Diceros bicornis minor: one gene and its partners. The protein of the gene in region 3 purifies or fractionates together with the protein of the main gene of each other region. This does not show direct contact. Links are inferred from orthologs where the notes say so. Each region holds a gene or a part of one and is shown on either strand. Other genes may lie near its edges.

The links. Proteins that work in one complex are often made in the same cells at the same time.
Region 1: the proteins of CUL2 (region 3) and cyclin-dependent kinase inhibitor 2A-like purify together in Homo sapiens (affinity purification with western blotting; 3 studies listed by BioGRID, with this or other methods). This does not show direct contact. The link is inferred for Diceros bicornis minor from reciprocal best matches to the Homo sapiens genes CUL2 and CDKN2A.
Region 2: the proteins of CUL2 (region 3) and kelch domain-containing protein 3 purify together in Homo sapiens (affinity purification with mass spectrometry; 5 studies listed by BioGRID and IntAct, counting the BioPlex papers as one, with this or other methods). This does not show direct contact. The link is inferred for Diceros bicornis minor from reciprocal best matches to the Homo sapiens genes CUL2 and KLHDC3.

The regions. Positions count from the first base shown.
Region 1 is NC_080761.1:44,431,776-44,439,800, forward strand, and holds the start of cyclin-dependent kinase inhibitor 2A-like, read right to left. Parts: upstream 3,477-8,025; 5' UTR 3,441-3,476; coding exon 3,315-3,440; intron 1-3,314. UniProt on the Homo sapiens protein: Acts as a negative regulator of the proliferation of normal cells by interacting strongly with CDK4 and CDK6. This inhibits their ability to interact with cyclins D and to phosphorylate the retinoblastoma protein.
Region 2 is NC_080753.1:22,654,366-22,662,759, forward strand, and holds the start of kelch domain-containing protein 3, read right to left. Parts: upstream 3,477-8,394; 5' UTR 3,267-3,476; intron 1,106-3,266; 5' UTR 1,047-1,105; coding exon 893-1,046; intron 718-892; coding exon 541-717; intron 387-540; coding exon 271-386; intron 84-270; coding exon 12-83; intron 1-11. Other genes in the region: MEA1 (male-enhanced antigen 1), read left to right, coding at 4,222-4,488, 4,576-4,678, 4,975-5,126; PPP2R5D (serine/threonine-protein phosphatase 2A 56 kDa regulatory subunit delta isoform), read right to left, coding at 6,282-6,419, 6,570-6,686, 6,829-6,901, 7,000-7,101, 7,750-7,877, 7,982-8,152. UniProt on the Homo sapiens protein: Substrate-recognition component of a Cul2-RING (CRL2) E3 ubiquitin-protein ligase complex of the DesCEND (destruction via C-end degrons) pathway, which recognizes a C-degron located at the extreme C terminus of target proteins, leading to their ubiquitination and degradation.
Region 3 is NC_080775.1:32,877,268-32,884,928, forward strand, and holds the start of CUL2 (cullin-2), read right to left. Parts: upstream 3,177-7,661; 5' UTR 3,065-3,176; intron 2,961-3,064; exon of another isoform or gene 2,831-2,960; intron 2,676-2,830; exon of another isoform or gene 2,549-2,675; intron 1-2,548.

The DNA of each region.
Region 1 (8,025 bases), on a different chromosome or scaffold from region 3:
ACCCCGCTCAGACACCGGTACAATCCACAGGTGTCTAGTTCCTCTTTATTTGCTTTCAGTTACCAACTCACGTAGCCAGTTCTCCTACCCATTCCATTTTCTGTACACATTACATTGAATTCCATTATATTCTCCAACCTTCTTCGGACGGAGTTCAGCCACACACAGAACACTGCCAGGGGCATCACAACAGCAAAGGCGTGAGGGACAAACTGGCTTTTGCTACAGCCTAACCTCCTGTATTTTCCCCTCATTTTGATATGAAATTATGTAAGGCCTAGAGATTTTGTATGGTCCACTGCTGTATATCCAAGCCCAGAATGTGGAAATTGTTAAAAAGTGAAAATGAAAATTTAAAAACCCCAGAACACCAAAATGTTAATTCTTGCAAAACTTTTAAGCTACTCTTAGCTTCCCGGAATGTTAAAATTCAATTTTTTCAAGTATAAAATGAGAAGGTCTGTGTAACCAGCCCCCAAATTCCTTCCTATGGTAAGCTAAATAATGCCCCCCAAAGATATCTACTTCCTAATACTCAAAAACTATGAATATATTACCTTACATGGCAAAGGGGACTTTGCAGATATGATTAAATTAAGGATTTCGAGAGAGATTAACCTGGATTGTCAGGGTGAGCCCAATGTAATCACAAATCTCCTTATAAGAAGGTCACAGTCAGAGAGAAGATATAAGAATAGAAGCAGAGGTCAGAAAGAAGATGCAGGGGCCATTAGCCAAGGAATGTTGACAGTTACTAAAAGTTGGAAAAGGCAAGGAAATGGATTCTCCCTTAGAACTTCCAAAAGGAATGCAGCCCTATGGATCCATTTTAGACTTCTGACCTCCAGAACTGTAAGGTAATAAATTTATGTTGGTTTAAGCCACTAAATTTGTGGTAATTTGTTACAGCAGAAATAGGAAATTAAGACATTTCTAAAGTTTACACCTTGGAAGTTCATTAAACTGGAGGTGCTCACCTCATTTAGCTGCTCAATTATCTCTGACACAAAGCCATTACCAAAGAGGAATTTTTAAATAGTGTCCACAGCAACCTTGCAATCTAAGCGTTGCATGGTGGGTGGTGGTGGTAGAAAATTCTTTTTTAGGGTAACCATTATTTGGTTATACTAGCTGTACAATAGTGACTGTATAAAGAGAGAGTACTTATTTTTAGTTTCATTCTGTATTAAATACGAATTGCTTAATTTGTTGAAAGCAAGGAATCATAATAAATTATACTATGGCTGTTGATTCTTGTCCTGGAGAAAGTGAAACTGATTTAATTTTCAAAAAGACAGAGAGAAGATGTAAATGAACTAAATTACAGCTACAGAAAGAAAGAAAAACTATTGTACTGCATTAGAACAATGCACTGTTTTAAAAGAAAAACTGGGAAAGTTTTCACACTATTATTAACTACTTATTTACACAAGATTTCTAATCGATTATGGAGTGAGTAATCTTTTGGGAGCTCTACTACAAGTGGCAGAGCTAGTATATACATGTCTAAAACCTGTTCTTGGAAGAGGTCAATCTCCATATCTGTATACAATGCAGGTGAAAATATAATGAAAATTGGATAAAAAAAAATTTATACAATGAAGTCCTTCATCTTGGTCATAAAACTGGTTTTAAAAGTTTTTATTATGTTTTACAGTATTAAAGACTAAGAAATAGCACATTATAAACCATTATGACCTCAATAAAATAATTGAAAAAAAAAAGACTGAAAAGTAACCTAATATTTAAATAATAATAATAGCAGTCCAAAGCAAAAAATTAAATGAATCAATTAAATGAATATTTGTAGTGTGCTTAAATCTATTTGATAAGACATTAAATTTAATTTAATAATTTAAAATAACCTATTAATAAAATAGAATAAAATTCACTAGTAATTTCTATAAACTAAGTACTTTTATATTAAACACAAATTTGGTTAGTGTTCTAAACCAAAATCATGTCCCCTTTTCTCTATGCTCTTATCTTCCCTATTTAAAAAATTGTGAAAACTAATTATCCAACTTCCTTTTTTCTTTTTGTATGTAAACAAATAAAGTCTCTTCTAACATATTCTAGAACTGCAAGGCCAAACTCCCAGTCTCCAAGGTGCTGGCAAAATTTTAGAGATATCAAATTAAGAATCATGTGTGCCTTATTTTTAAAGGACTCATGCCTCACTTCTACCCTCACGCAACCTCTCTAGTCTCAACATCTCTCCACACTTCAAATCTCAAACAATCTCAAGTTTTAAGGCATTTTGGTTTTGTTTTTTATTTCTGTATTTTAAAATGTATGAAATTTATCCTATGTAGCATAGAGTTAGGAAAGGAAGATTCGCTTGTGAAATTTGTGAAGTTCCAAATAGAATTACTTTCCTTTGTCTTGTTATGCTGGAGTTTTTGCAACGTGCATTTGTTTCCTATAAATTTATTTTTCAGAATCAGAAATCACTGTCGACACCAAGAATAAAACTAGGGTGGCGACTGCCAGGAAGAATTCGTTTTTAGTCTGAAATTTAGGAAGCTAGCGAAGGCAAACAACAACCAAGAACACACAATCCCCCTCCCCCCAACACACACACACAAAACTAGGGTAGGGAGGAGAAAAAAGGCATTTCTCAAAAATGAGGAATTGAAAACTCTACCCCAAATATGTTAATCTATATCAAGTAAGCTAAAAATAGCAAAAATAATAGGAGATACCCCCAAAATGGTAATTAAATTGATATCATTTCAGGCTAGGTCACACTAATGTTTTTCTTCATATATATCTGTCTGTAATTCCTAGTTTCACAAGCATATGTTTTCCTTACTCAGTTAAAATAATAAATACAATATGTAGTTGCTTCTGAATAATTCCAATGGACATTTATTCCAACATATACAGTAGTAGATTTCCACTGAAATCTCCCCTCGCAAGAAAGATGGTAGGCTCCATTGAGGACTCTGTGAGTTCGAGCAAAGTAGTCTCAGCAAATCTTAGATTTCTTTAAAATCTTGCGTTTTATTTCAAACGTTCGTACATTTTGTCTGACAAAGAACACATCTCGGTCTATATTAACACAAATAGGCTCTCCCCTCCAAATCTACAGTCCAGTCTAGAGATCTGCACTCCACGTGCCTCCTCATTTCTCCCGTGGCTCCCTGAGCCCCCGAGGCGTCGCCAAGAGGAGGTCTCCGACTCCAAACTCCATCTGAAAACTCTCCAGGAAGTCTCCCCTTTACCGAGAATCGAAGCGCTTACCTGGCTCCGACTCCTTTGCAAACCTCGTCCTCTATAGCCGCCCCCATCCCCTCCTCCCGCCGACTCACCTGAATCGGGCTCCGACCGTGAAGGTTGAGCGCGTTGGGTGGCGCCCCCGCCTCGAGCAGCGCCCGCACCTCCTCGGCCCGACCCCGGGCGGCGGCGGTGGCCAACCTGTCGGCGGAGGACTCCATGCTGCTCCCCAACGCTCGCCCCTCGCTTTCTCCCTCCCTCCCGCCGCCGCCGAGCGCCACCGGCCCGCCCCAGCCTCTCGTGACCAGCCGGCCCCTCCTCTTGCCTCCGCCTTCCGCCGGCCCCCGACTCTGCCCCTCGACTCCCCCTGCGGGAGCGCGTTCAAGTGTTCTCCGAGGAGGCGCCCTGGGCTCGGAACACGCTGCAGATGTCACATCTCCTGAAGTCGCCCCGCGCGGGGCCTCTGCCGTCACCGGTGGGCAGCTCGCCCGGGGGCACCGGCCGGAAGCAATCCGTGCCAGCAGCCCGAAGAAGCGGAGGGGGCAGGGCGCCCGGGGCCCCTCCCCACCTGCCTCTGCCGCGTCCCCGCGCCCCTCCTCCCCGCGCTGCGCTCCCCACTCCAGCACAGGCGCACACGGGGCTCGAGCGAGTTCACTTCATAAGGCGCAGATTCTCCCTCGTTTCCTCCCTCCCCTGTACAAACCCTTGGCATTAGAAAGCTGCACAGGATTCCTAACTGCCATGTTCGAACCAGGGTGTTTGAAGTATAGGCAAAGTATTGCTTCCTCTTTTAATCAGAAGAAACGGCTGAGAGTCGGTATCACGGTATGACTATGAGGCTTCCCTTCTTTTAGAGGACATGCTCCCTTCTCCACCACTCAGCACTTGGCTTTCTCCTGCTGGGTCCACAATGCCAGAAATCCTAATTCAAACGTTCATTTTGGAGAATCTGCCCGCCTGCCAGCCTTTCCCCTGCCTCCCCCACACACACGTGTAAAACGGATGTCGGAGGCGAGAGTCTCCCAGACTTGCGCAATGCCTGGTACTAGTGCCTGGTATAAGGGCTGACCCCCAGAAGATGAGGTCTATTCAACAGGGATGGTGGAGATTTCTGCCTATAAGCAGAGAGGAAAGTGGCAAAGGGGTCATTGGACTGGTAGACTCCATTTGCTTTTTTTTTGAAGTATAACTAACATACATTATATTAGTCTTAGGTGTACAACATAATGATTCGATATTTGTATACACTGCGAAATGATCACCACGATAAGTCTAGTTACCATCTGTTATTATGTAAAATTATAAAATTTTTTTCTTGTGATATGAATTTTAAAGATTCACGTTCTTAGCAACTTTTAAATTTGCAATATTACAATATTATTGACTATAGTCACCACACTGTACATTACATGAGTTATGTATTTTATAACTGGAAATTTGTATCTCTTGGTCTCCTTCACCCGTTTTGTCCAGTCTCAAGCCTCCCACCTCTGTGGAGACCGCCAATCTGTTCTCTGAGTTTTGTATTTTTTTTTTTATACTCCACATATAGGTGAACTCATACAGTATTTGTCTGTCTCTGACTTACTTCACTTAGCACAATACCCTCAAGGTCCATCCAGGTTGTTGCAAATGGCAAGATTTCATTCTTTTTTATGGCTGAGTAGTGTTTCATGTGTATATATCTATATACACCACATCTTCTTTATCCATTCATTGGTGGATGGGCTCTTAGGTTGTTTTCACATCTTGGCTGTTGTAAATAATGTTGCAATGAACATAGGGGTGCATATATCTTTTTGAATTACTGCTTTCATTTTCTTTGGATGAATATCCAGAAGTGGAATTGCTGGATCATATGGTAGTTCTATTTTTAATTTTTTGAGGAACCTCCATACTCTTCCAAAGTGGCTGCACCATTTACATTCCTACCAACAGTGCCTGAGGGTTCCCTTTTCTCCACATCCTCACCAACACTTGTCATTTTTGATAATAGCCATTCTGACAGGTGTGAGGTGGTATCTCCTTGTGGTTGTGATTGTATTTCCCTGATGATTAGTGATGTTTAGCATCTTTTCATGTGCCTATTGGTCATGTGTATGTCTTCTTTAGAAAAATGTCTATTCAAGTTCTCTGGCCATTTTTAAATCAGATTGTGTGATTTTTTTTGTTATAGAGTTATATGAGTTCTTTATATATTTTGGATATTAACCCCTTATTGGATATATGATTTGCAAATATCCTCTGCCATTTAGTAGGTTGCCTTTTTATCTTGTTGATGGTTTCTTTCACTGTGCAGAAGCTTTTTAGTGTGATGTAGTCCCACTTATTTATTTTTGCTTTTGTTGCCATTGCCTTTGGAATCAGATCCAAAAAAAAATTTCCAAGGGTAATGTCAAGGAGCTTACTGCCTATGTTTTCTTCCAGGAGTTTTATAGTTTCTGGTCTTACTTTCAGATAGACTCCATTCTTTTTTTTTTTTTTTTTTTTTTTTTGGCTAGGAAGAGTCGCTCTGAGCTAACATCTGTTGCCAATCTTCTTTTTTTGCTTGAGGAAGATTAGCCCTAAGCTAATGTCTGTGCCAGTCTTCCTCTGTTTTCTATGTGGGTGGCCACCACAGCATGGCTTGACAAGTGGTGTAGGTCTGTGCCTGGGAACTGAACCCAGGCTGCCAAAGCAGAGTGCACTGGACTTAACTAGTACGCCATGGGGCCGGCTCCCTAGACTCCGTTCTTAATAAATAATCCCTCCTAGATCAGAAAAAGTGCTTAGCACTCTAGAGACAGAGTTGCATAGTGATTCAGAGACCAGGCTCACACACTGTCCTGGGGCTGCTCCTCTCCCTCCCCCTACACCTCTCCTTCCTACTGGAAAAATCTTACCATTTTCTTAGTTATAAAATAGGGGGCTGAGTGGTCCCTACTTCATAGGGCTGTTGTGAGTTTTAAATGAATTGATGTACATATAAGCATTTAAAACAGTGCCACACATCCTAAGCTAATACCAGTTAGCTCTTAAATTATCCATTTTGAGGGTTCGCTTGCAACCTTGTTGTGAGGCACAGAGAAGAACATGCTTTTGATAGAATTATCAATAGTATATAAAAGGGAAGCCCAAGAAGACCTGAATCACTGAAAAGATGATAGACACCCTCCACCACCCTCGTATGTAATGAAAAGTTAAACAGAACTAAGAGCATAACAAGTGAAAGAAAATCCAACAAGGTTCTAATTTTTCCCATGGTTATTACTTTTACACTTTTAAAAAAATATAGATTTTTTAAAAAAATTGAATTACTCAGGCTTTGCTGATGCCTTAAGGATATGCTTAATCTGCCTACTAGATAACCCAGCTCTATTTAAAAGTTATGTTTCAATCCCTGGTTAACATCTCTTGAAGACCCAGAATACCTGACTGTACTTTCAATTGCTTTTAAAATGATGCCAATTAAAACAGGTGGGATGTCAAATCTGTTATAAAAATCCACTGTGCATTACTGTGCTATCTATATTTTCCTCCAGGTACCTCTCAATTATTTGGACAACAATGGTATGGAAAATTCAAACTGTGGTAGAGAACATAAAATTCTTTCAATGTAGCTTAAGGTATTGATGGGAGGGAGGGAACAGATTTCCCTTGTAATATGTCTGGCTTTTAGACCAAGATCAAAATTAGTTTCCATCACTAAAATAATGGTTCTTAATCTTGGGGCAGGGTGAGTAGGCCCCTTTGGGAATCTGTTGAAAGCCGTAGACCCTCTCCTCAAAAAATAAAGTATGCAATAATTTTTTTAAAAAAGTGTGTTTCCTTGCACATGCATTTCTGAATATAACTTACAGGGAATTCAGAAATTCGTCTAAAACTCAACTATGGATTCCTATATCAAGAACTCTTTAGGGGCTGGCCTGGTGGCGTAGTGGTTAAGCTTCCACGCTCTGCCCTGGTGGCCTGGGGTTCAGAGGTTCGGATCCCGGGAGCGGACCTACGTACTGCTCATCAAGCCGTGCTGTGACAGCATCCCATATACAAAATAGAGGAAAATGGGCACACATGTTAGCTCATGGCCAATCTCCCTCACCAAAAAAAAAAAAAAAAGAACTGTTTTAACCTTATGCAATATATCAGACTGTTGTTGAAGGACATTGATGGCTGATGGAACCATATAAAAATATCCCTTGGGTGCATTATATGCAGACATGGAGCTTGGCTTCTCCCAAGAACAGGTTTTAGACATGTGTCTACTACTAGCTCTAGCACTTGCAGTAGAGTTTTCAAAAGATTATGGTATCCTTGGGTGTGGCCCCTTTGTTCTGGAAATTGACCCAATACTCCATTAGAAATCTTGCATAAAATGTAGTTAATAATAGTGTGAAAGCTTTCCTAGTTTTTCTCTTAAAGAACCTACCACACTCCCAATTTACCCTTCCATATTATCTCAGACCTAAGGGGCAAAACCTCAGAAGAAATAAAATATGAAGCCCAAGATGCCAGTGCTGGTTATGCCAGTCTCAGCTCTTTTCCGTGTGTAAGATGGAATCATAATATATTTCATGAGTTGATAAAATAAGAAGATGTATGTCAAAGAGCTTTTGTAAATTTTAAAGTTTGTTGGTTATTCTTATTATCACCCCCAAACTTACTTTTCTTCTTCCCTGAGAATGTCATGGCCTTGTTTAGGTTTATGCTGCATTGGCAGAGAAAAAAGATTACCACTTGTTCATTCATTCAACAAGCTCAGAGGCTAAGGGTGGAGCATGGAGTGGGGTAGGTGTTCAAGATATGGTCTCTAGAATTGGATTGCCTGCC
Region 2 (8,394 bases), on a different chromosome or scaffold from region 3:
AAAAGGCAGACCTTTGTACAGATAAGGGTCCATGTCATGGTGCTGGTATCCAGCTTGTGAATGTCATTGGAAAAGCAGTCCGCCTGAGTGGGAAGAGAAAGGGAAGGAAGTGGAGGAAGGAATAAAAGAGGGGATCAGTGGTCACACTCTGACCCTCCATCCCTCCCCTCAAAACCTGCCAACAAGCCAAAGCCTCCCATTTCACCACCCTCAATTCCCTTTCCTCTTTCTCATTCCCACCCTAAACCTTTAGTTTCTTCCTAGACGTACCAGCTGCTCGTAGCCCCCGAAAATGTACATGGTCTTTCCCAGGACACAAGCTGAATGTCCGTCCCGTGCCCCAGGAACTATTCCTGATACTCGGGGTGTGGACCACTTGTGAGTATCTGAAGGAGGTGAGAGAATGGGCCAGGTAAGCAACCTCTGACATTCCCTCCTAGACTCCGGGGTGCCCTATTCCCAGCCCCCTTGGACCACACCATTCCCAGTCCCCTGAAGCACCATTTGGCAGAACACAGCCTCTCTGAGACTCATACTCACTGACGTCAAAGGCATAGAGCACATTGCAGGCCCCTTCAGTGTCATTCCGCCCGCCCCAAAGGAAGACTGTGTCGTCGATGAGGACGGTTGAATGTCCATATCGCATGTAGGGTACCACGGGAGCCTGCCCACGGATGGCGGGTCTCACCGGGGGCAGCTTTGTCCAACGCAGTGACACTGTGGGCACAACTCTGCTCAGCCCTGGGAACATCTCTGGAGGCTGTCCACCTTCTCCCAAACCAGATATTCATTCCCCCATCCCCTATGGCCACCGAGACCACCACCAAACCTCATTCAGCCGCCCGTTCCCCTCCCTGACAGGCACCTAAGGATGGTCTCAGCATTAGCTTACCTGCATTGAAAATGTGCACATCAATCTGACGTAGTGTCTCATAGTCTTCACCAGAGCAGTAACCCCCAAAGGAGTATACCCGGTGCCCGACAGCCACAGCAGCATGGTTCACCCTGCGGGGCCCGCCCTCCAGGTGCACTGTCCACCGTAACATCCCCTGGGCCACTGGTTACAGCAACATGCCCCCCCGGCACGGCCTGCTGCCTCTGCTACCTGCACACAAGTTAGGGCCACAGGCTCCTCAGGCAAGGCCTTTGGCTGGCTCACCGTGCCTCTGCCCAGGGCCAGCCCTTGCCTTTAAGTGTCACCCTGGTGGCCCTCCCACACCACCCCTCATGGCTCAGTTGCCTGGCCCTGCCCCAGGGGAGCTGCTGAGGTCAGGGAGCTAGCCCTGGCTGTGTTCGCCAACAGCAAAGGGTGGGGCCCCTCCGACCTGACTGCCAGCTCAGAATCTGCTGATCAAGGCTCTCAGGGTGGTCACCCCCTACTCATGGAGGCTCCACTCTGTCCCTGGCCTGGCACAAGCTCCAAGCCCCCTTCCCAGGCCAATGTGTTCTCTTGTCTCTCTGGCTCTGCTCTGCTTACTGCCACCTCTCTAAGAATCTGTGTGCTCTTTAAGGTGGGGAGAGGGATCTCAAAATACTCAGAGCTATTAATAGCACAGCCAGCCCCAGACAGTCCATTGAAAGCTGGCATGGGTGCTTCCAAGCAGAAAAGCTTTTAGGCTTTTAGACTGGAACAGTCCCTCTATCGAGGACAGGGTGGGGTTGATCCAGGACAGGGGCCTCCATGTTACCACGGGTGGTTAGCCCCTCATAGGGAGCTCTTGTCAAGCTGAGCTGCTGCCATCGAGGTCACCCAGGGCCCCTCCCAGGCACGAGGAGTTCCTTTGACAGCTGTGCCTGGTATGCTGCCAAGACTAGGAACTTAGCCAGAAAGGTATGTGTCTGCTGGGGACTGAGGGGGTGGGGGTGGGGAGGAGGGATTTTCTTCTCCTGCCGCTTCTCCCACCCTGCTATTGTGGTAGAAAACAAGCTGTTTCCAGCAGCAACTCTCCCACTTGGGTCCCTGACAGGGCGGATGAGGTGGGGGTGTGCATTGGAAAGGGGAAGGGAAGCACAAATGACCTTGGGCAGGACAAGAAAAAGACCTAGGCATGAGAGGTCACGGTCTCTTAAAGACAACTTCTCAACCTAGTGATAATGGGTACATTTGAAGGCTGTCAGGCAAATCCTCCTGCAGCTAGCACTGCCTTCCTTGGCAAGCACCTGCTGGGTTTGGGAGGATCATCTGCTCTGTGTTCAAGAAGACATGGCAGAGGGAAGAGCCAGAGAGAACCTCAGGGACAGAGAAAGCTCAAGTAAGGCAGGCCCCTTGCAAGAAAGAGATATGGCTTTAGCTGGCTTACCAGCCACCCCTAACCTCCCTCAACCCTCCACCCCATGCTTTAAATAGCCACCCTGCCAAACCTGAAATAGCCCCAGTAGGAAACCACTCTCCCTTCACTACTCCTGACCTCAATGCAAAAGATCTTGGATCTGGGCTCATGGGGGCACATACGAGGTTGAAGGGCTTAAGAATGGGAGTCCTTCATCTTCCCTCCTAGCTTCTGCTCCCCCCTTCAGCTATGTCAAGGTAAAGAATTCACAGAAGAAAAGACAAGCAATTCCATCCAAACGTGGAGAGAATCTCAGCTTCTCTTCCATAAGGACAACTCAAGCTCATGGAGGACAAGCCCCCAAGGTCTCAGGGGCTCCGTTTATCTCTGGGTCTCCGGGATCCTCCATCATCGGGGCATTCTCAAGCTTCCTCAATTCCCTTCATGTACCCCCCTCCCTGGTCTCTCCCAATTTTCACTCCCCATTTCTGGCCCTTCTTGATCTCCTGAGAGCTCTGCAGTTTTCTCCTTTTTCCTTCTCCCACCACTCCAAGCTCCACGCCGACAGCCCTCCATTTTCCCTCTTCCACTAAGGGAAAAAAAACTAAGATTCATTGACCCCTTTCGGCCAGAGATTTGCCTCCCTGTATACGACGCTATCCCTGTCTTCCTGTCATCCCAACCTCCCCTCCCCCACAACGCCAGCCCCTCCCCCGCTTCTTCCATTATCTTCAGCTTCCCCGTTCTCCTCACAACCCAGTCTTCCTCCCAATTTCCTTCAGTGCCTCCTCCAGCCACCAGGTCTCTCCCACCCGTTTCCTCACCATCCTCCCCAGCCCTTCTTTCCCCATTAACACTCTCCTTTCCCATCATCCCCCTAGATCCCTCTCTACCCCCACCCATCACCCTCAGGCCCCTCCCCCATGACTCCAGCTCCCGGCATGAGCGCCCCCAGCCCCTCCAATTTTCCTTGTTCCTCAACCCATCCCGGGCTACCTGCCAGGCCGGGCCGGGGCGGGGCCGCGGGGCCTCGCGCTGCCTGCAGCCTAGAACCGGTTGCGCGCCAACCGACGACTCGGTCCCCAACGAGATAAACACAGCCGGGCTAGGTGCCTCGGGCGGGCCCGGTGTGCGCACGTGCAGTCAGACGAGAGCTCGAGGCCTCCCGGGACCTGTAGTCCACGGGTTTCGGGAGGGACGTGACGGGCAGAGGGGTGGGCAGGGGCAGAAGGAGAGTCCGCGTGTATCCAGCTCTGTCAAAACGGGTTATTGGGTAATGTAGTCCTTTGTCGTCCGAGCAGAGGTTGGCGGAGGCGGGGCCTCCGGCGGTCCGCGTCCTCGCGCGCGTCAATCATGGGCACGGGGCGGGGCTGGAGGACCGAGCGTCCCCGCGCGTCCTGCCCCGCCGGAAGTGAAGGCGCGGCTCGGCCGCGGGCTCGGAGCGGGTGAGGCGCGCGGGGGTACCGGCGCCGAGGGTCGGTGGGGGCGGGTAGGGGCGCCGCAGCTGGGGCCATTTGAGGGGAACCCCTGGAGCTTGAAGGGCGTTTGTCAGGCAGTACAGAGGGGACCCCTTGGGAAGGGGAAAAGGGGGCGGGTACGCCCTGTCTACGGGAGCTTGTTTGGCGATCCGGAGTTTCCAAGTCGGGGGTGAGGAGGGGGTTCTGGAAGGAGTGTCTTTGGGTACGTGGCGTGGCCTCCCGTTGGACTGTTATTAAGCATTGGCAGAGCAGAGTGGGTGGGCCTCCGTTCAAGATAAGAGCCGACTTAAGAGGTGGAGGGCCCAAGAGAACTCAGGAGAGGCTCGGGTGGGGTGGTGTGCAGGAAGCTTGGGGGCGTTTAAATGTTTTGTGGACGCAGGAGGAAACCACAAGGAACTGGATGAGAAGCTGAAGGTGGACCTGATTTCATCCGATCCCTATCCTCCCTCCCCGTTCTTGCAGCCCCTGCCCGGATGGCAGCAGTAGTTCTAGGGGGAGACACCATGGGCCCTGAGCGTATCTTCCCCAATCAGACTGAGGAACTAGGGCCGCACCAGGGCCCTACAGAAGGCACTGGGGATTGGAGCAGTGAGGAGCCTGAGGAAGAGCAGGAGGAAACAGGGGCAGGCCCAGCTGGCTACTCCTACCAGCCCCTGAACCAAGATCCTGAACAAGAGGAGGTGGAGCTGGCACCAGTAGGGGATGGAGATGTAGTTGCTGATATCCAGGATCGGATCCAGGTATGGTGGAGGAGGCATTGTTCCTGGGCAGGTGAACCTGGGATCCCTGAAGGGCTGGCCTTAACTGTCTTCTCTCTGGCTCTGCAGGCCCTGGGGCTTCATTTGCCAGACCCACCATTAGAGAGCGAGGGTGAAGATGAGGAGGGAGCTACAGCATTGAGCAACCACAGCTCTATTCCCATGGACCCAGGTAAGAGAGATCATTCTTTCATTCTGGAATAATTACAGACTGGCCAGAGCCAGAAGAGGGAAGTCACAGAGGAACACCCTGTTCCTAAAACAGCAATTTGTAATCTAAGATTTTGCAGACTTCAGAATCCAGATGAAATGCTATTCTGCTAGACTTGGAGGACGGGCAGGCTTGCCTAGAAAAAAGATGGATTTGGTGACCTTGCTGGCCCAAGGGTTCTGGGTTAATTCAAGGAGTGGGGAGGGGAGCTGGTCTCATTGTTTCTATCCCTAACTGGTCCTTGCCTATGGTTTCAGAACATGTAGAGCTGGTGAAAAGGACGATGGCTGGAGTCAGCCTGCCTGCGCCAGGGGTTCCTGCCTGGGCTCGGGAGATATCAGATGCCCAGTGGGAAGATGTGGTACAGAAGGCCCTCCAAGCCCGGCAGGCTTCCCCAGCCTGGAAGTGACCACCCTGAGAGCGGCCTTATCTCTCTGCATTCCAGGCCAGAACCAGCACCGGACTGAACACACATCCCTGGTTGTATTGTCCATCTCCATCCTCCCCACCTCCCTTTCCACATCAAGGCAAATCAGACTTCTCAGAGACCCACTTTATTCAGTTCTGTACATACGGGGACATCGGCCCAAGCCCAACCCACCTTAGCATGTATCACTCTGTGGAGAATAAAGCACCCTATGTACACAGCCAAAAGCTGCACTGCCTGTGCCCCTGGAACCTGGGTCTGGCCCTCCTCAGCCCCTTGCCCCTCCTAGGTGCCTGAAAGGGACAAGTGAGGGCCTGCCCAGCATCAGCACAAACAAAGAAATAAATAGGTGTTGAGAGGAGCTATGCTTGGGGCACTGCTCCCTGCTTCCTTCCTCCTCGCTTTGGGGACCTACAGCACAGGAAAGCAGTCAGCCGCAGGGTGGTCCCTTCCATGTCTGTGATCCCAGGGCTGCTGCTCACCAAAGGGGGCACAGGGTCGGGTGTTCATTCACCCCCTTCTCTTGGTCCATCTGGGCCCTGTATTCATCACCTACTGTCCATTTGACCTCCCACGTTGTCTTGGTCAGGCAGGGGAAAGAGGAAACAATACAACCCCATCAGCCTGCACACTGCTGGGGCTGGGGGCCTATTTGTGCTGCTGGGGGTTGGCTCCCCTCCAGCTACTCACTCCAGGGGCCAGTGGGGCTTGGCATAACTTTGGTGAGAATAATCTGCTGCTGCTCCCAAATGCTTCTGCAGGGGAGGGAGAGAAGGAAAGGCCCCTGGAGTTCAAATGAGGATGAAGGGAACGGGAGAGGAGCATATGTATTCGTCTGTTTCTCAGAGCAGCCTCAGGGGTTAGGAGCAGGAGGGGGACAGGCATCCCCGAATTGTCTGAGCACTGAGCTTCTCAGTGCTCAGCCTGTCTACTAGCCACAGGGAGGCATGAACACATTTTGGGGAGAAGAGGGACCACTCTGGGTGTCCCTGCTTCAAGTGCCGCATCCCTCTCCCTGGAGTAGCTCAAGAGGCACTGCCTTGCCCCAGGTCAGCCAGTGGGGAGCAGAGGGTGGAGGGCCAGGGCAGCGTCCCAGGGCTGAGTGGGCGGTGGCCCTGTGATGGGAAGGTGAGGGGGTCAGAGAGCCTCCTGGCTGGCAGTTAAGAACTCTTCCGCCCGCTTGTGCGCCTCCAGCGCCTTGATGGTGTACACGTCCTGGGGCAGCTCTGACTTCCGCCGAAGCAGCACTTTCTCCTTCTTGATGTCCTTTAGCATCTGTGTGTGGATACGGAAAAGGCGAGCAATGGTGACCAATTCCCAATAAATTCTATTATTTCTTCCCCTTATTCCTTGGCTCTGCTGCAGCTGTCTCCTTTCCCTTCCAGATCTTTTATTTCTGCTCCCCCTTCCTCTGTGCCCTCCCACCTGCACGGCCTCTGTCTCCACCGTCCTCTTCAGAAGCTGGATGTCCTCTGCCGTGGGGGTCTCTGTCTCCATTGAGTACACAGGAGGCAGTGGTGGAGGAGCTCGGAACATGGGATACTGAGCAAGAAAGAGGCACGGACAAGTGGTGAGAGCCACTTCAGAAGTCTGTGAACCTGTCTGCTTCATATTCTGCCTCAAACAAATCCTCCCCCAGCCCAAGATGGGCCCCTCAGTTCAGGGCAGTGGCAAAAAACCTCACCTGGGGATTAAGTCGGGCCAGCTCCTCGATCTTTTGCCACATCTCTTCCCTTTCCTTCATTCGGAACCGGCCCCTGAGGGAACAGAGAGGGGATTGGGGTTGGGCTTAAGAGAGAAGCAAAGGGGGGCTTGTGGTAGAAGGTGAAAGCCCCTCAAGTGGAGAGAGACTCACTTCTGCTTCTCTGCCTTGTATTGTTGTGTGCAGTCATCAAACAGCTTCTGATTCATCTCCATAAACAGCTTCAGGGCGTTGTAGATCAGTCCATGGATTGTCCTGCCACCAGGAAGAAAGATGAGGTAGAGGAGGCCAGAGCCTGCCCTTAGTGCCAGGACCCTAATCTGCTCTCTCCTAGGAGGTGTCTCTGCTAAGAGCTTTCTCATTTTCTGCTCCCATTGCACAAACCTCTGCACAGTATAAGCTCATCTCTGGCCAAATCATGTGACTTGAGGTTGGCATTTCAGGGTCTTTACAAATACTGGTCCACCTGTCCATCCTTCCCCACCCCCACATTTCCTACGCTCTAGCCCACACTGATGGCCTCCCAGCAGCACACTGGACCACATCTGCACCCCAGGGCACATGCTTTTAGCAGGAAAGCCTTTTTACAGCGCTGGGATTCAGCACCTACTAAGAAGATCATATCGGCTTCTCACAGCGTGGAATTAAGTCTCCAAAGCTGCAGGATATCTGACGGCAGGCAGAGATGTAATATAGGTCCCTGCTTTGCTGCCTGGTGTCACAGAGATCTCTCACACAGGGATCCTGTCTCCCAGTCAGGCCCTCAAGGGCCTATCACTGTGCAGTGGGCACCAGCCCCACTTGCTGAGCGACCAGGTAAGAGCGCTGGCTCTCTAGCTCTTCCACACCCTCACAGGTTCCAAACCCAGAGGCCCAGTGCCCAGCCCCACCCCAGCCCCCTACTTGTTCCAGTGGCTCTTGGAGTTCCTGTAGAGTGCAGGGAACATGATGGGGAGGACTCGGGCAGCATTGTCACTTATCAGGCTCATGATGTACTCATTGTTCCAGTAATAGAGAGCACGCTCTGCCACCTGGTGGGGACAGGTGGCACTCATTGGGGATATGGCTCGCTTGGCTGAAGACCCTCCTCAGTTTCTCGGAGGCAGGGGTGGGAAATGCCAAGTCTGGGTCTTACCTGGAAATGGGGGCTGGAGACACACTTGGCAAGCTGTCGGAAAAGTGGTTCCATCACTTTGCTAAACTCTGAAGGTTCAATGACATCCAGAATCTCCTCTAGCTCATTCAGGAACATCACCTCCTTGGGGCTGTGGGTCTTGGGCCAGAACTTGAGAAGTCCTACAATCACCTGTGAGAAGAGGAGGACATGGGGATACAATTCTCACTCAACACCTGCCTGGTTTTCCAGGAAGCTTTCCTGCCCTCTCTTCCCTACCCTGGTGGGCACAGCGTGGGTGGCCTCAGCTAACTGCTCATGTTTCTCTGGCCTGGATCTGTTTCCTAGGTGTATAAAGGTTTTACTTCTCCTTCAGAGAGGAAACCGTGTCACCCATTGGGCCACACCCATCCTGAGCACCTGCTTACGGCACT
Region 3 (7,661 bases):
AAAAGTCTCAGGAAAAGTAACAACTCTAACAACTCTACATCCCATGTAGAGTTGGTCCCAAACTCAAAGCGGGCAGGACCAAGTCAGAAAAGGCTGCGGAGCCCCAGAGCTTTCTCCTCTTCTTTCTACATTCTTTCTTTAGGTGGTCTCATCATGTTTCATAACTTTTAAATACTATTTAATACTCCAAAAAATACAAGGTGTCAAAGCAGGTCAAGTATGCTACCACTTTTGCAGAGTGGAGAGAATATATACATATTTGCTTATATGTGCACAAAACATATCTTTGGAAGGATACGTAAGAAACCTCTAACATTGCTTGGCTCCAACGAAAACTGGGAGACGAAAACTGGGAGACGGGGGACAAGAAACAGGGGAGATTTTCATTCTATACCCCCATCACACTTTAAATTTTGAATCATGTGAATGTAATTTTTATTCAAAATATAATTATAATAAACCAACAAATAAATGCTGATGACTCTCCATCTCTTTCTCTCCTCACTAGAATCTAAGTTTCCTGAAGGCAGAGATTTTTGTCTATTTTTTCACTGCTATATCCCCACTGCCTGGTTCATAGCTGGTGCTTGAAAAATAACTGTTGAATGAATGAATGACTCCTTAATCTCTCCACTAAACTCCAGACCTGTATATCTAATGCCTACTTCTCACCTCTACCTGAACATCTAATAGGTCCTACTTAACACGTCCAATCCAGTTCTATCCCCCTAACAACCTGCTTCCCTCACGTCTTCCCCATCTCAATACATGGCATCACCATCCTCCAGTTGAAGCCAAAACCCCAGGAGTCACCCCTGTCCCAACCAACTGCACCCCCAGCCAAACCACAAGTTCAGTAAATACCTTTAACTCCAGACATATCTCAAAATCTCTTTTACTGACTCCAGTCACTACTCTACTCAGTCAGCTTTGAGAGGAGTAGTGACTGGTCTTTCTTTTCTCCTCTTACCCAATCTTCCCAACAGTCAGATTCTAAGTCAGACCACATCACTCCCAGCCTTACAAAAATTCCAATAGCTTTTCAATGTACTTTAAGAATAAAAGCCAAACTCCTTTGGACAGTAAGACATCACATGACCTGGCCCCTGGCTAGGACCTCCCCACTTAGCTCTCACTAGGATGCCCCTTTAATGAACTTCTTCCCATTCGCTGAACCCAAGCTCGATACCACCTCTGGGCATTTCCATTTGCTGTTCTCTCAGACAGGAACACTCTTCCCTCAGACTTCCAAACGCTAAATCCTTCTCCCTTCGCAGATATCAGGTCAAAGGTCACCTCAGACATGTCTTTCCTGACCACAGCATCTGAAGTAGTCTTCTCCCAGTCACTACCATAACTCTCTATTTTATTTCCTTCATAGCACTTGTGATTCTCTGAAAATATTTTTATTTCCTATTTATTGTCTGTCTCTCCCTCTCCCACCAGAATCAAAGCTCCAGGGGGGAAGAAATTTCAGTGTGTCTTGTTTACTGCTGTCTCCCTAAATGCCTGCAACAATGCTTGGCATACGAACCAGGTGCTTGATAAATACTTAACTGATAGATAAGGCAAAACTGACTTTAAAGAAGCTCCACAACATTTAATTTAGTGACAGATGGGTGAGGATAAAAGACATGGATAAACTATCTTCACATTTATAAAACACCAAAAATCATCAGAGAGGGGGGAGAGTGAACCAAGAGTACTTCAGATGCACGGACACATTCAAATACAAAGAAAAGGCATTTTTCACACACTATGTGCACCCACAGTGTAGAAATGTTCCCCCAACTTATAAACAGCATCTGAAAAAAAAAGGATAACTCAAAACGCTGTGTCCATCTGTTATTTCATTTATGACTCTTTTGGAAGAGTCTTCCAAACACTGTATTTGGGCAAAACAGGCCAAGTATAACCAATTTTGCTCATTTGTCTATCTTGGAAAAGAATGTGACATTTTAAAGGGAAGGGAACAGGCTTTTAAGTGTTTTTAAATGTCTATTAAGTAGTCAGTAATCAATCAGAACAAGGTGATTATTTCCCATATTTTACTATGAATGTAGGTCTGGCACAGGTCTCTTTCAAAGATTTTTATATTGTAAAGTTAGCCTACAGCGAATGTCAGTAGTTTATATCTTACTATCTTCAAAATTTAAACTTCCAAGGTGCTGCCCTTTTACTGGTAATAGTAATCCATGGGGGAAAAGAGAGGATTTAACAATAACAACAGCCTGCAATTCACAGATGTTTTATTTACATGCACGCATTCGTGGGGTGGTAGGGATGGTCCAGACTCCCCAGTGTGTAACTAAGTGCTCTAAAGAGAGTCTGAGGCTCTTATTTCACAGATCCTAAGTGTTGAGACGGATGCCCTTAGGATACTGCTCCCCAAAGCTATCAATCTTCCCTGTCGGCGGAAACAAAAGTGAAAATACTCGTGGTAAGGATGTAAGAAATTGATGCCCTCCTCCCCACCCCCAACCCAGACACACAGAGTTGTGGATCCGTGGGAGCCCGTAAATAAGCAGAGGAGTCCACGCACTCTCACCTCCCTCCTTCGGAGGAAAATGGGGCCGAGGGAGGGGCGGCCAAGGCCGGGCTGGGGAGGCCCGGGATCCAGTCCAGGGGGCGGCCGGGCTCAGGGGTCAGCGCTCCAGGGAGCCGGGGTCACTCACAGGACACCGTCTTCGCTGGCCGCCCCCTGCATCCTTCCCCCTCCCCGCTCCTCGCCCCCAATTCCTTTCCTCCGCCCCGTCCTCGCCACCCATGAACCGGGAAGGGAAGTTTCCCGGCGCCTGCAGCCCGGCTCCCCGACCCTCAGCGGGGTTACCTGCTGCAGAAGCGGGACAAGGGGCAGGGGACAAGGGGAGGGGGAGGCAGCCCGAAGGCGTGAAGGACGAAGCCCCGGCGAGGAGGGTGGGCGGCGGCGGCGGCTGTCAGCTCGCGTCCCCTGCTCACAGCGCTGCCATTACTGTGCGCCGAGGCCGCCTCCCCGCCGGCCGCCGCCACCGGCCCGGAGACGCGGGGGGAGCCCAGCCCGGGAGCCCGCGCGCCCGACGCTCACCTGCCACCGCGCGCGAACGCCGCAAAGCCAAGGCCGCCGCCGCTCCCGGACGGGACGTGGCGTGGGGAGGGGGAGGGGAGGACGGGCTGGTTACGGGGTCCGTGAAACGGCCGTTCTCCGGGCGGCCGGCTTTCCCTGACACCCTCCCTCCGGTCTCCCTTCCGCCACTTCCAAACCCCCCTCCGCTAGCAGTGGTAGGGTCCGCGTACGGCAAGCGCAGGGAGCCCGGCTTAGTGCATGGCGAAAGGCCTCGGGGAGCAGTCTCTAAAGGGGCTGCGTGCGGTGCTGATTGTTAACGAGGCAAGCGCCAGGCTGTAGTCAGGGCCCTCCAAGTTTGGCGGCTACTCGCTGACGAAAAGTGTCAGAAAGGCGTTTTCAACAAAAGTATTTTCCTGTGAGTTGTTTCAGAGCTACGTGAATATTCTGAGACACCACAGCCTCCTTGCCACACGCTTCCATGGGCTTTTCAAATGATCAAAAATATATCAGCAAAACTGCTTTTCCCTTTGACAGACTCCTTTTCTAGTGGGTTTTTAATCAATAGACAAATAATGATACATAAATGTATTTTCGTTAAAGGAACTTCTCTTCACAGTCTTGAGCACTTATTCCCCACCACCAGCACTATCATATCCCTGGAAAGGGTTTTCCTCCCTTACAATTTGGTCATGTTGATGAAAATATAGATTTACTAGTCATCTCCTCATTTACACAGAACCACAAGAGAACGAAAGCCTGGCTTTATTCCTTATTTGTCTTTCATATCTCAGTGGTCAAAGTCTTGTTCTTCATTTGTACGTTCTGAGCAAGACTTTCCCTTCCAACCCTTTCTTCAGACTATTTGTACTGATCCTTCAAGGCCCACTTAAATCCTGTCTCCTAAGGTGATAAATCCCACCACTCTTTAAGATTTAAGAAGCAATCTCTTATCTCCTTCTCATGGCACTTGAAGTCTGTACACTTTATTTTAATAAAGTTATTATATACTAAATTCAGTTCAATGGTTTGTTTCCATTATATGACCTTTTTTCTCACATGTTCTCCATCTTTTGTGTGTGTGTGTGAGGTAGCTTGTCCCTGAACTAACATCTATTGCCAATCCTCCTTTTTTTGCTTGAGGAAGATTGGCCCTGGACTAACATCCGTGCCCATCTTCCTCTACTTTATATGGGACCCCGCCACAGTATGGCTGGATGAGCAGTGTGATGATCTGCGCCTGGGATCTTGAACTCGAGATTCTCTGGCCACCTAAGCAGAGCGTTGAAACTTAAATGGCACCAGGCCAGCCCCATGTTTTCCATTTTTTAATTCAACAATTCTCAAAGTGTGGTCCTCAGATGTCTGGAAATCTCCAAGACCTTTCCAGGGGTCCCAAGGTTAAAAACAATCTTCATAATGATACAACATGTTTTTTATCTTTTTTATCACATTTACACTTATGGTGATAAGCAGTAGTAACACCCCTGAAGTTGCCTTAGCGGGAACCAAGAGGGTTGCACAAAACTGTCCCAGTGGTCAATGGATCACAGTATTGTTTGCTGCCACACACTCCACTCCACACTGCCAAACCAGTTTTTTAGAATATCTATTTAGGAATATCCTTGATGAAGTAGTAAAAAGTATTAATTTTATAAATTTCAGCCGTGAGTACACCTCTTTCTAATATTCTGTGTGAAGAAATGGGAAGTACACACTTTAGCTCCATACCAAAGTAGGATGGTTGTCTTGAAGAAAAACATTTGTGTAGCTGAGTTGCAAGCTGACCTAGCTGCTTTTGTCATGGAACACCATTTTTCCTTGAAAGAACAACAGATAAACTAATGTTACTCTGACTTGGTAATTGACAAATATTTCTCCAAAATGAATGAAGTGAGCTTAATACTTCAAGCAAGACAGCTGAGAGTATTTGTTGTCAATGATAAAATTTAGCTTTCAAGTGAAATTTGAAAATTTGGGTAACTTGTGTTCACCACTATAAGCTTGATAGCTTAAAGACTTTTCTGATGAGACTGTAGTGCTATTAATGAATATGACTTTTTGATATTGTATGATGAGATATGTCAACATATGGAAGATCTACATGACACAATAAAACAGTATTTTCCAAATGACCAATGCAGGATGTTATAAAATCACACATGGATAAAAGATCCATTCAAAATACAAGAGAGACCAATTGGTAGATAGGGGTGTGTGTGTGTGTACACACACAAAAAAAGCCGAGTACACAGGTGACTTGATATGGTTTCAGATTCCTCATGGCAACTAATCTTTAAGAAACTACCACTTGTCAAATTTTCTGTAGTATCAGAGAAGAATACACACCGGTTATCCAAAAAGACCATTAAATTCTCCTACTAAGGCCTCCTATTTTCTTCATGTACTTCAACCACGGAGAACCTAGCTATCTTCTATTAAGCCAGACATTAGAGATATGCAAAAATGCAAAGCAATGCCATTCTTCTCACTAAATTTTTTTTATTTTAGAAGATATGTTTTTTTTTTCATAAAACTTTGCAATTTATGTTAAAATGTGTTTGGGTTTATTATTTTTTAATTTATAAATAGGGCTTTTTAAATCCTCTTTTTAATTCTAATATGGTACCTATTGATACATATAACCCACACAAGCATAAGTTCTTTGAGTTCCTCAGTAATTGTTAAGAGTGTAAAGTGGTCCACAGACCAAAAGTTTGAGAACCCCTGCTCTAACTCATGAACTGCATCCGCTCTCACCACTTTCCTTTTGAACTCTAGCTGGAGATGTGGACTAGCACAAAGGGTGCCAAGCATGAATGGCCATAACACCCCACTATTTCTAAATTCAGAGACTTCTCACCTCTTCCTAACTTATTCAACCTATATAATAGGGAAATGACATTTCTAAAAAAGTTATAGCATCCAAGCCCCTAACATTAAATTGAGATTGCAACTTCCTTCAAGAAAAAAAAGTTTCCTTTCTGGCCAACACTTCAAGCCACCACTTTAAAGCAATGGTTGGTCTTTACCTCCAAACCAAACTTCAAACTCTAGTTTATCCATGAATCTTTTCTTTGTTTTACTTTTTAGAAAAAATTACATATATTTCTAAAAATGTGTTTTGGCTTTGTGTAAAGTTTATTGAATTCCTTTATATTTTTTGTGACTTCAAAAGTAATAAATGCTTTTTTGTAAAAAAGAAACAAAAAACTACCAATATTACAGAGATAAATAACCATGTGTAGCTTGATAAATACTCCTCAAGATATTTTCTATGAATATTATTAAATATTTTGACACAAATCAGGTCATATTATAGATATGCTATTTTGTAGCCAGCTACTTCAAAATCTTCCTGATTTTGATCTTTATGAGAACATAAATAATTTTTAGTCAGGCAGAGTAATTTATAAATTAGTATTTAAAGAGGAAAATTAATGAAAAATATTTTAAGTAGAAATCTTAAAATGTCATTACATAAATCGGTAAACAAAGTATATCCACTTCTATTCATTCTCTATTTGTGAGTATACATAATTTTTTCTTTCAAAAATTTCCAAGTTCATTTCATAATCTCCCTGTACTAATTATTTGAGGAGTCCAACCAGAACTACTTGCTGTCTTTATAAGCTTCCTTTATAGATATAAAATCCAAAGAGCCCTGATTTTGCTGCGATATTTATGATTTCAAATAATTTGTCTCATTTTTATATTCTATATACTAAATCTGAATCATCTTTTCTTAAATCTTTACTAGGAATTTGCATTTCCTGGTTATATCATTTATTAAATATTTTTCCACCTTTTGCTTCTAGTAAACTAAAACAAATGAGATATTGAAGAACAGGTTTCATGTTTGGAGTAGCTAACCAAAGAGCTGTGTTGTGCTTATAAAAGAAAATGCAAGACTCCTCTTTGGAGAAATATCTGACTGTAGGGCTGGGGCAGGAAATACACAAGATGAGCCGGGAGAATCTTGTAGTGTAAGAAAGTAAGGAAGTGCTCAAAAATAAAAACATCCACATTGGTGAGGGTATGTCAAAGGTTACAGGAGGCAACTGAAAGAGCTCCCACTAGCCAAAGCTAGAAAAATGTGAGCAAGAAAGTGAAGCAGTAGGATATGGGAGATCAAGAGTTGGCCACCCTGAAATATGTCTCTTTACCTTGATTGTTTTCTCTGACAGACATTTGACCTCCCCCACTAACTGCCTAAAGAATTTAACATAGAAGACCTGTTCCAGGAAGGAGTTACTATCTGATGCTGGTAATACAATGTAAAACAGATGTTACCATAGGAAGGCACCAACGAGCCCATCTTATCAAAAATTCTGTCTCTGGCCATATTCTCTAGGTGGCCCTGCAAGGAGTTGCCAGACAAACATTTACATTCATAAGGGAAAATCTCCATTTGTAAAGGTATCTCCCTCTCTGTATTGGGAAGAGGAGGGATGACCTCATTTCTATAAACTTATCAATGTGGAAGGTGAGGCCTTAAATCTGCATAATAACCTTACTCTTGTTTACTGTGCTTTTCTGGTAATCTCCCTTAACTGACTCCCGCCACCCCCAACATCCTCCTTTGTCTTTAGCTGAAGCTGGTATTTAAGGCGAGAATCTC